Linked DNA regions of Coturnix japonica. The protein of the gene in region 1 purifies or fractionates together with the protein of each later gene. This does not show direct contact. Links are inferred from orthologs where the notes say so. Each region holds a gene or a part of one and is shown on either strand. Other genes may lie near its edges.

Region 1 (3,951 bases):
ACAATCTGCACTTAAACTGGATTCTTAAAGCATCTGGTCTACCTGCCTCCTCTCTTGTTCATCAGGATCCACTGTCCTTTCCTGTTTGAAAGCTTTCGATTCCTTCCATGCTCCTTTCAGTGAGGTTCTTAGTTTTTAATCCTCAGATGGATACTGAAGAGTTACTTTTACAGCTCTTTTTCATCTAAGAAGCCTGCTGGTACCCTGAATATAACTGCTTATAACTGGGAAGTCATCGGCATTGGTGTACTCGGCATTGGTGAGGCCTCACCTCGAGTACTGCGTTCAGTTTTGGGCACCTCAGTACAAAAAAGACATTGAGGTACTGGAGCAGGCCCAGAGAAGGGCAGTGAGGCTTCTGAAGAGCTTGGAGAATCAGCCCTATGAGGAGAGGCTAAGGGACCTGGGGCTGTTTAGTTTGGGCAAAAGGAGGCTGAGGGGAGACTTGATCGCCCTCTTCCAGTACCTGAAAGGTGCTTACAGTGAGAGTGGGGCAGGTCTCTTCTCATTAGTGACAAGTGACAGGACGAGGGGAAATGGCCTCAAGTTGCACCAGGGCAAGTTTAGGTTGGATATTAAGAAGAACTTCTTTACAGAAGGGGTATTTAGGTACTGGAATAGGCTCCCCAGGGAGGTGGTTGATGCTTGAGTCACCATCACTGAAATGTTTAGGACCATTTTGATGTGTGCTCAGGGATTACGTAGGGTTGTTAGAGTTAGGGTACTGATTAGGCTGTGGTTGGACTTGATGATCTTCAAGATCTTTTCCAACCTGAGTAATTCTATGATTCTATGATACAACATTTGCAGGCTGATAGGCTACACTGCAGGAGGGAACTTGTCTGTGAATAAACTGTACAAGCTACAGGTCATGAGAACATCTGAAATGCTTGAACAAAATTTCAACAGGATATAAAACATTTGCTCACGTTAGTTTCAAAACTTCTCTTTCGCAGTCAGACCAAAAATTCAAGTCCATGTTTTAAAGCTGTCTGAATGAAAACACAGAAGGAAAAGAAAAAAGGAAAGCTCATTCTGTGTACCTTGAGTCGAGCTTCCACTGAAGCCTTCTTACGAGCTTCCCTCCTGCGATACTGCTCCACTTTATCCAGCTGATCAGGACGCTGAAGCATTCCAGCCACCCTCTGAACAGCAGTTGCAACCGCTTCCCTATCTGTTTCCTCCATGGCTGATTAGGACCTCAGAATGCCTTCATCATTCAACAGCGCTGAAAAGAAACGTAACTGTTTTAGAACATACGCTTTCACTCGATGGCTCTCTATCTATTCAAACTATGTAACCTAGGGTACGTTTGCCTATTAAAAGGGGAATGAGAGATGCATATAGGAATGTTGTGGATTCCTCTCCCAGAACTTAAACCTGTTGGAAGTGAAACATCTAGAGTCCCCCGGCAGTAACTCAAATCTGGTATCAGCAGTGGAGAGAAACATAACCATGGAAGCTCTAAACTTGAAGACTGAACTACAAAGCACTTTTGTTTAGATTTTTGATGGAAGGGCCCTCAAAGCCCACCCATCCCCACCCCCTGCCATGGGCAGGGCTGCCCACCAGCAGTTCAGCTGCCCAGGGCCCCATCCAACCTGGCCTTGAGCACCTCCAGGGATGGGGCACCACAGCTTCTATGGGCAGCTGTGCCAGTACCTCACCACCCTCTGAGTAAACAGTATGAGCAGAGTTAGGGCAGCTTTAACACACACAGCCACAACTCGGGCAGCCGACGCACCTCACGCAACCTTCTGATTACACGGCGACGTGCTGCAATGACTGGGCCATTTCACAACCACCAACCGCTCACACAGGAAGAGCAAACTTCAGGAACCCGTGCCAACTTTACAGAGGCTGTCAGCCGTCACCACGAGCAAAGAGCCAACAAAACCAATCACAGAATCACAGAATGACCCGGGTTGGAAGGGACCTCAAGGATCATGTAGTTCCAACCCCCCTGCCTGGCAGGGCCACCCAAACCATACAACACATTTACTAGATCAGTTGCCCAGGGCCCCCGTCCAACCTTGGCCTTGAACACCTCCAAAGTGACGGGCGCAATCCACACCTCCCTGGGCGCCTGTTCCAAGGACTATACCGACTTCTGCCCTAGTGAAGAACTTCCCCCTAACATCCAACCTAAATCTTCCCTCTTTTAACTTAAAACCATTTCCCCGTGTCCTGCTATTGTCAGCCCTTTCAAAGAGTTTACTCCCCTCCTGGGTGTAGGTTCCCTTCAGGTATTGAAAGGCTGCAATGAGGTCACCCCGCAACCTTCTCTTCTCCAGGCTGAACAAACCCAACTCCCTCAGCCAAACCAAGCCCGGCGCTTTAGGGAAACTTCCACAGTCAGCCGAGCAGACACGAGCAGCGATACACGGCGGGTAGTGCCAGGCCGCGGGCTGTGCAGGACGCATCCCCTCACCACACAGCGGGCACGAAGCGCAGCGCACCCGGCTCCCTCAGCCGCCACAGCCCGGCAGGTGCCCGTAGGCCGGAGCCCCGCCCCGGCGAGCCCGCAGCCGCCAAGCGCCCTCAGCCCCGAATTCCTGCGCCACATCGGCCCGGACGCTCCCTCGGCACCCTCTCGGCACCCTTTGGGCCCCGCCATCCCAGCGGCTCCTCGGATCGTTCCCCTCCCGCTTCCCGCTGGCCGCTACCGGCGGAGCGCTCACCATGGCCGGACACCGCGGTACCGCTCACGGGCTGCAGCAGCCGCCCCTCGGCACGGCGCTGACAGGCGGGCAGCGCGCATGCGCACAACGCAGACCCTTGGCGTCACGGCCAAGTACGCATGCGCAGGGGCAGCCCTCAGCTCCCTCGCTGTTCGGGAGGAGGGCGTGCGCCTTGCGGGGCCTCACCTGCGCATGCGCGGTGTGCTCAGCTGCAGTTCACAGTCACAGAATTATTTTAGGTTGAATGTTAGGGGGAAGTTCACTAGGAGAGTGGTTAGGCCCTGGAACAGGCTGCCCAGGGAGGTTGTGGATGCCGCGTCCTTGGAGGTGTTCAAGGCCAGGTTGGACGGGGCCATGGGCAACCTAATCTAGTAAATGTGTATGTTTGGTGGCCCTGCCAGGCAGGGGGGTTGGAACTACATGATCCTTGAGGTCCCTTCCAACCCGGGTCATTCTGTGATTCATTCTGTGATTCATCAAGGTTGGAAAAGACCTAGAAGATCATCCAGTCCAACCATCACCAATACTTCCCAGTACTAAATCATATCCCTCAACACCACATCCAAAACGTTGGGAACGTCCGTGGTGTTGTTTGCTGGTGCTGGGGAAGCAGTTGTTAATGCGTCTTGAGGTGAACTCGGTTTTACACATCACTTCAATAAATGAAATGCAAAAGCCAACAGGACGAGTCGCTTTCCTTTTGTGCAATGCAAAACCCTCTTGTGCTGTGCTGGGGTCTGCTGTGGGCTCCGGGCTGCTGCTTGTTTGCAACTTTGTGTCACATAAAGCCTCTATAAAACATGTAGGAGAGCAGTTAAATCAGAAATTTGGTGGGAAACCAAAAAAAGCAAAGCCCCAAAATGGAGGCAAGCTAACACTTTGCTATAGAAAGGGAAAGGGGAGCTTCACAGAAACCAAGACAAAGGGTAACTGTAGATAGTTTACATTTAAAAGGGCAGGGAAAAAGGGAATTACAGACACTTAGTCAAAAGAAAACCAGAGAAGAGGGCAATAAGGATAAGAAGAAATTGTCCTGAGACCTCTGACAAGAAGAAGGATTAGATACCCCCGGGCAAGATGATGCCGACATGGGAGAATGATAACAGCAGATAACACCAAGAAGAAAACAGAAGAATTTCACCCCAAAACAACGGCAAGGGTCGCAGGGAACGGGGTCACTGGGAATGAGGGAATGGGGCCATAGGGAATGTAATGAATACGTAGTCAAACTGAGGAGGAGACTATTGATTATGTATTAGCTTGACCTATA
Region 2 (4,199 bases), on another chromosome or scaffold:
ATTAAATGGGGGGGGGGGGGTTCACTGTCTGAAAGCAGAATATAAACTGACTAATGAGAATGAGCCATATATACTTCAGTTACTTCCTTTCATCATGGAAAAATTCTTAAGCAGCTTTTAAGGCTGTTTGTCACACTTGCTTGGCACAGTAATCCCCACTCAGAATTAAATCATTGCAGTGGGGGTAGCTCTAGTAGCTGCATGTATGTGAAAGAACAGCCTTCCTGTAACAGGTCCACTAAGTCATTCCAAACCAAAGGAAAAGTCAGTAATAGAATATAAGGATGCAGGTAAACTCTGATGCTGCAAAACAGAAAGGAGATATATTGACTGAAGAAAATATTTTTGTGCTGCTTTTATAGCCCTCTTTGGTCACGTTTAATTAAAAACGGTTTGCTCATTAATCATTCACAAGAGGGAGAAAGTCATAGTTCCTTGCACATTTGTGATATCTGAGCACTAGAGGATTGCAGCTCCAACACCCTGCCCTCAGGCCCTCAGGTGATGACCAGTGGAGAGCACTGACTCAATACAAAACTACAAGGGAACACCACGCAGCTCTGCCCACCTTGATTCCTGCCATTTTCCACCAGCCAGCCAGAGATACGGATGACGTCGTGCAGGACGCTCTCTGGGAGGTGTTCTAGTGCCATCTCCTCCTGTGTGTCCATTTCATCATCTCCACTGATCAGGTCCAGGATGAGGATGGGTGGGACAGGCTTGGTGTGTCGCGTCATCAAGCTGCGGAACTCTGATTCCAAGGACTCTTTTCCCCTCTCAAAGAGGGATTTCTGGCACAAACCAGCAGAGGACAGAACAGGGTTGTTGTAATCAGTCACTCACAAGTCTTTCTGCATGAGATTGCACTTTCTGCAGCGTTTCTAATCACTGTCAAGTACTGCATGCTTCAAACTCCAGTGCCTGTAGCTAAGAGACTTTTAATGACTTAGTTACATATGGAATTGCCTGGGAGTTGCTCAGTATATAAAGCATGAAAAGAACAAAATATCACCAAGCAAAATTGCTGTCGGGCTAGGACAGAAACCAAAGCAATCATTTCTTCAGCTGTGCCCAAACACATTCTTTATCAGGCAGCAAGCCCACCAGCCTCTCACTGCCCACAGAGGGTAAGTGGCAGGGTTATGGCTGTTCCTATCTTACCCATGCAAGCTTCCAGACCTGCGACCTACCACACGGTTCAGCTCCGGGCTGTCTGGATTGTTGTCCTGGAAGTATTCCACTGCTTTCTGGATTTTGTCCATGCAATTCAAGTACTCCTCCAGCCTCCCAGTGGGGCTAAAAATAAAAGCAAAAATAAAAAGGATCAGAAGAAGAAAAAGACAAAGTGTGTGGAGTCAGCGCCTACCTCTGCCCCAAGAACTGACAGGATGAAGCACCCCAGCAAGACCTAGCTACCAAACTCACCCTTCCTTTATGATCTTCTCTGTGTCCTTTGCCACATGGTAGTAACTAATGACATGATCCAAGCAGGACAAGGTTTTTTCCACGTTCTCCTGCAAGCGCTGTAGATTCTCTGTCTGTTTATGGACAGGGATGATCGAGTTCTCCAGCTTCATCAAACGACTTTCAAAGGAGGAAAGGATAGAAACCTACATGTCAAGAGAGAAAAAAAGAGTTGAGGACATCCCTCCACATGAATTCACACTACGGGTTAGTAGCTAGAATAGGGCAATTAGGCACCTTCAGGCCCCACTTCTGTTCCATGGCCCCTTAAGGCAGGCTGTTTAAACTTTCTATGTCCTAATGAATAATGAATAATTACAATACAGGTCACCTGCTGTCAAAGATAGACCATCCTTACATTTGTAAAGCATGCAAAACAGCACTAAGGGAGAGCAAAACTTGACTTGATAGCAAGAAACAAAGCCACTGGAAATGCCTGGAGGTGCCTTAGATAAAAGAGATCAATAAAAACAACCTGGCAGCCACTTTGCTCCATAATACTAAGATGTAAAACAGAGACAACACAAAGGCACATTGTGGCATTAATGTCCTTTTACATTGCAAGTATTTGGCTTTTAAAAGGGTCTGTCACTTCTGAACTGTGGAAAATAAGCCCACAGAGGGTGACTTCACATCATCCCTCCTGGGTCAAAACGCAGCTCTTTCAAGAAGAGAAAGGACAGACTGTAAGGACATGAAGCCTTTGCTTTGCACCCACACCTCCCAAGGAGGGAAAGTATGGGTTGGAAACCAGCCTGTGGGGTGTAAAAGCAAGTGATTTATTACTCTGTATTGCTCAGACAAGTACAACACCACCCTTAAACATGAGTCTACCTAAGGATGAACAGCCCCTGACCCAACATTAAGGCTGCACCTCCAGGAGCTCCTCACCATGTTCTTTGTGAGCTGGTCGCTCTTCTCAAGGCTCTCTTTGATAAAGGACAGCGTTTCTTCTTCCTGCAGTCACGATAAAAAGCAGTTTTCACTTCAGACCATCGAGCATTGAACTCACTATACACCAAACGAGGGTCACACACCCACAGCTGGGAGACCGAGCACAGGGTAGGCCGCACACAGACACCCATGAACCCTGAGGAGACATAACAGGCCCCTGATAGCCGCAGGCCCAACCCCACCTCCAAGCACTGACCCCAGCCCAGCCCCACCTGCTTCAGCTTGTCCTCGATCTCCCTCCTGCGGGCCGACATCTCCTCTGTTGGGATCATGGTGCTGCGGGGCGCCAGGGCCGCGCTCCACACACAAACCCCGCTACCACAACTCACTTCCGGCCGGCCACCACCGCGCCGCCATTTTGGGTGCGGCAAGGCACGTTGCGCATGCGCAGAAAGCCAAAGCGCTATCTAGAGAATGGCTTCCGGCATAGAGGAACCGGAAAGAGGATTGGGGGAGTAACGCGCATGCGCATTGTTGGTCGCCACCTTGGGTGTGGCGTACAGGCTGCGCCGCCATCTTGGGAGGGGCGTGGTGTGTCCTAATATGGCACCCTTTATCTGCCGGGATGGATGTGCAGAGTGACCCCAATGCACTGAAAGACACGAGGGGGTCCCAGCGGCTCCAGGGCGGGCACCTGGAAGGAGACCAGTGGTCCTGCAGGAGGGTTGGGTCCATGGCTGGGCCCAGTCCTGCTCTACTTACTGTATGGCATCACAGAGCACATCCCACCCCCCTGTGCTCTGTCACTGCACTGGGCTCATACAGGGGCTGCCCATAGAAGGAGGAAATGCAGCAGCTCAGTGTGCGCTGCTATTGTGTGCTGCTAGGAAATGCACCCATTGCAGGAAGGGGATGCACGACAGGGAATGCCCCAGTGTGACCCAGCACCCTCTGCTGCTGTCAGACCTGCTGTGTGTGCCATAAACCAAGCACCCCAACCTCCTGCTATAGGGGCTGGACCTGTGTCCCCATCTATCTTCCCCTTATCAGCCCACCCTGTGCTTGGTGAGGCTGAGGCAGCCCAATGGGTCTCTATTCAACAACAGGTGGGTTTTATGATCCACCTTATCACACAGCTGTGTGCCGACCAGCATGAAGGGCAATGTATTCCCACCCCACAGCCCCAAAGTGGCACCACACAGGCAGAGATATGAGCACTGTGACACGGCCCTGCTGCTCCCCTCAGCCACCCTTTGCATCTTGAAAGGCAATAACACAGTTTATATCCCATCCCGCCTGCTGCTGCCGCCTTCCCACCCCGCCAACAATCTCTTTCCGCGCCGAAGCTGCCGCCTGCGGAGGATGAAAGGCAGTGAGTCAGCAGTGCATGGAGGAATGCTGCTCCTTTTGCTCCATGGGAGGGTGTCACCAACGGCCGAGTTGGCACCGTGCTTTGGTTGGGGCTGCTGAGTCCATTTGGCACCGAGCAAAGCTGCTGCGCTGCTCTAAAGCTGCAGGTTGGGATCTGATCAGAACCTGATGGCTCCGTGCTGTTTGGATGCAGCATTCAAATGGCATCGCAGCCCCCTTGCTCAGCAATGGGAGGTTTGGGGTGCTGGGCTCCCAAATACTGCCAAGGAGCAAAGGTGAAGATGAAGCAGCAGAGCTCGGCCCTTGGCTCATTGTAAGGTGGTTGGGATCAGTCCCTAAGGGTTGGCCCCATAAGTCCCCCCCACAACCCCATCCACTAGCCCAGCACAGACACAAGCTGTGCTCTCCCTCCCTCCGGCTTTATTTGCAGAGGGAATTAAGGTCCTGCTGGGAAACCTTCCCCAGTGCTC

What was found. Proteins that work in one complex are often made in the same cells at the same time.
Region 2: the proteins of EXOC3 (region 1) and EXOC7 purify together in Homo sapiens (affinity purification with mass spectrometry; 5 studies listed by BioGRID and IntAct, counting the BioPlex papers as one, with this or other methods). This does not show direct contact. The link is inferred for Coturnix japonica from reciprocal best matches to the Homo sapiens genes EXOC3 and EXOC7.

Annotation. Positions count from the first base shown.
Region 1 is NC_029517.1:80,087,712-80,091,662, reverse strand, and holds the start of EXOC3 (exocyst complex component 3), read right to left. Parts: upstream 2,801-3,951; 5' UTR 2,682-2,800; intron 1,229-2,681; 5' UTR 1,188-1,228; coding exon 1,044-1,187; intron 1-1,043. UniProt on the Homo sapiens protein: Component of the exocyst complex involved in the docking of exocytic vesicles with fusion sites on the plasma membrane.
Region 2 is NC_029533.1:3,918,693-3,922,891, reverse strand, and holds the start of EXOC7 (exocyst complex component 7), read right to left. Parts: upstream 2,801-4,199; 5' UTR 2,691-2,800; coding exon 2,631-2,690; intron 2,422-2,630; coding exon 2,356-2,421; intron 1,611-2,355; coding exon 1,426-1,610; intron 1,297-1,425; coding exon 1,191-1,296; intron 792-1,190; coding exon 569-791; intron 1-568. UniProt on the Homo sapiens protein: Component of the exocyst complex involved in the docking of exocytic vesicles with fusion sites on the plasma membrane.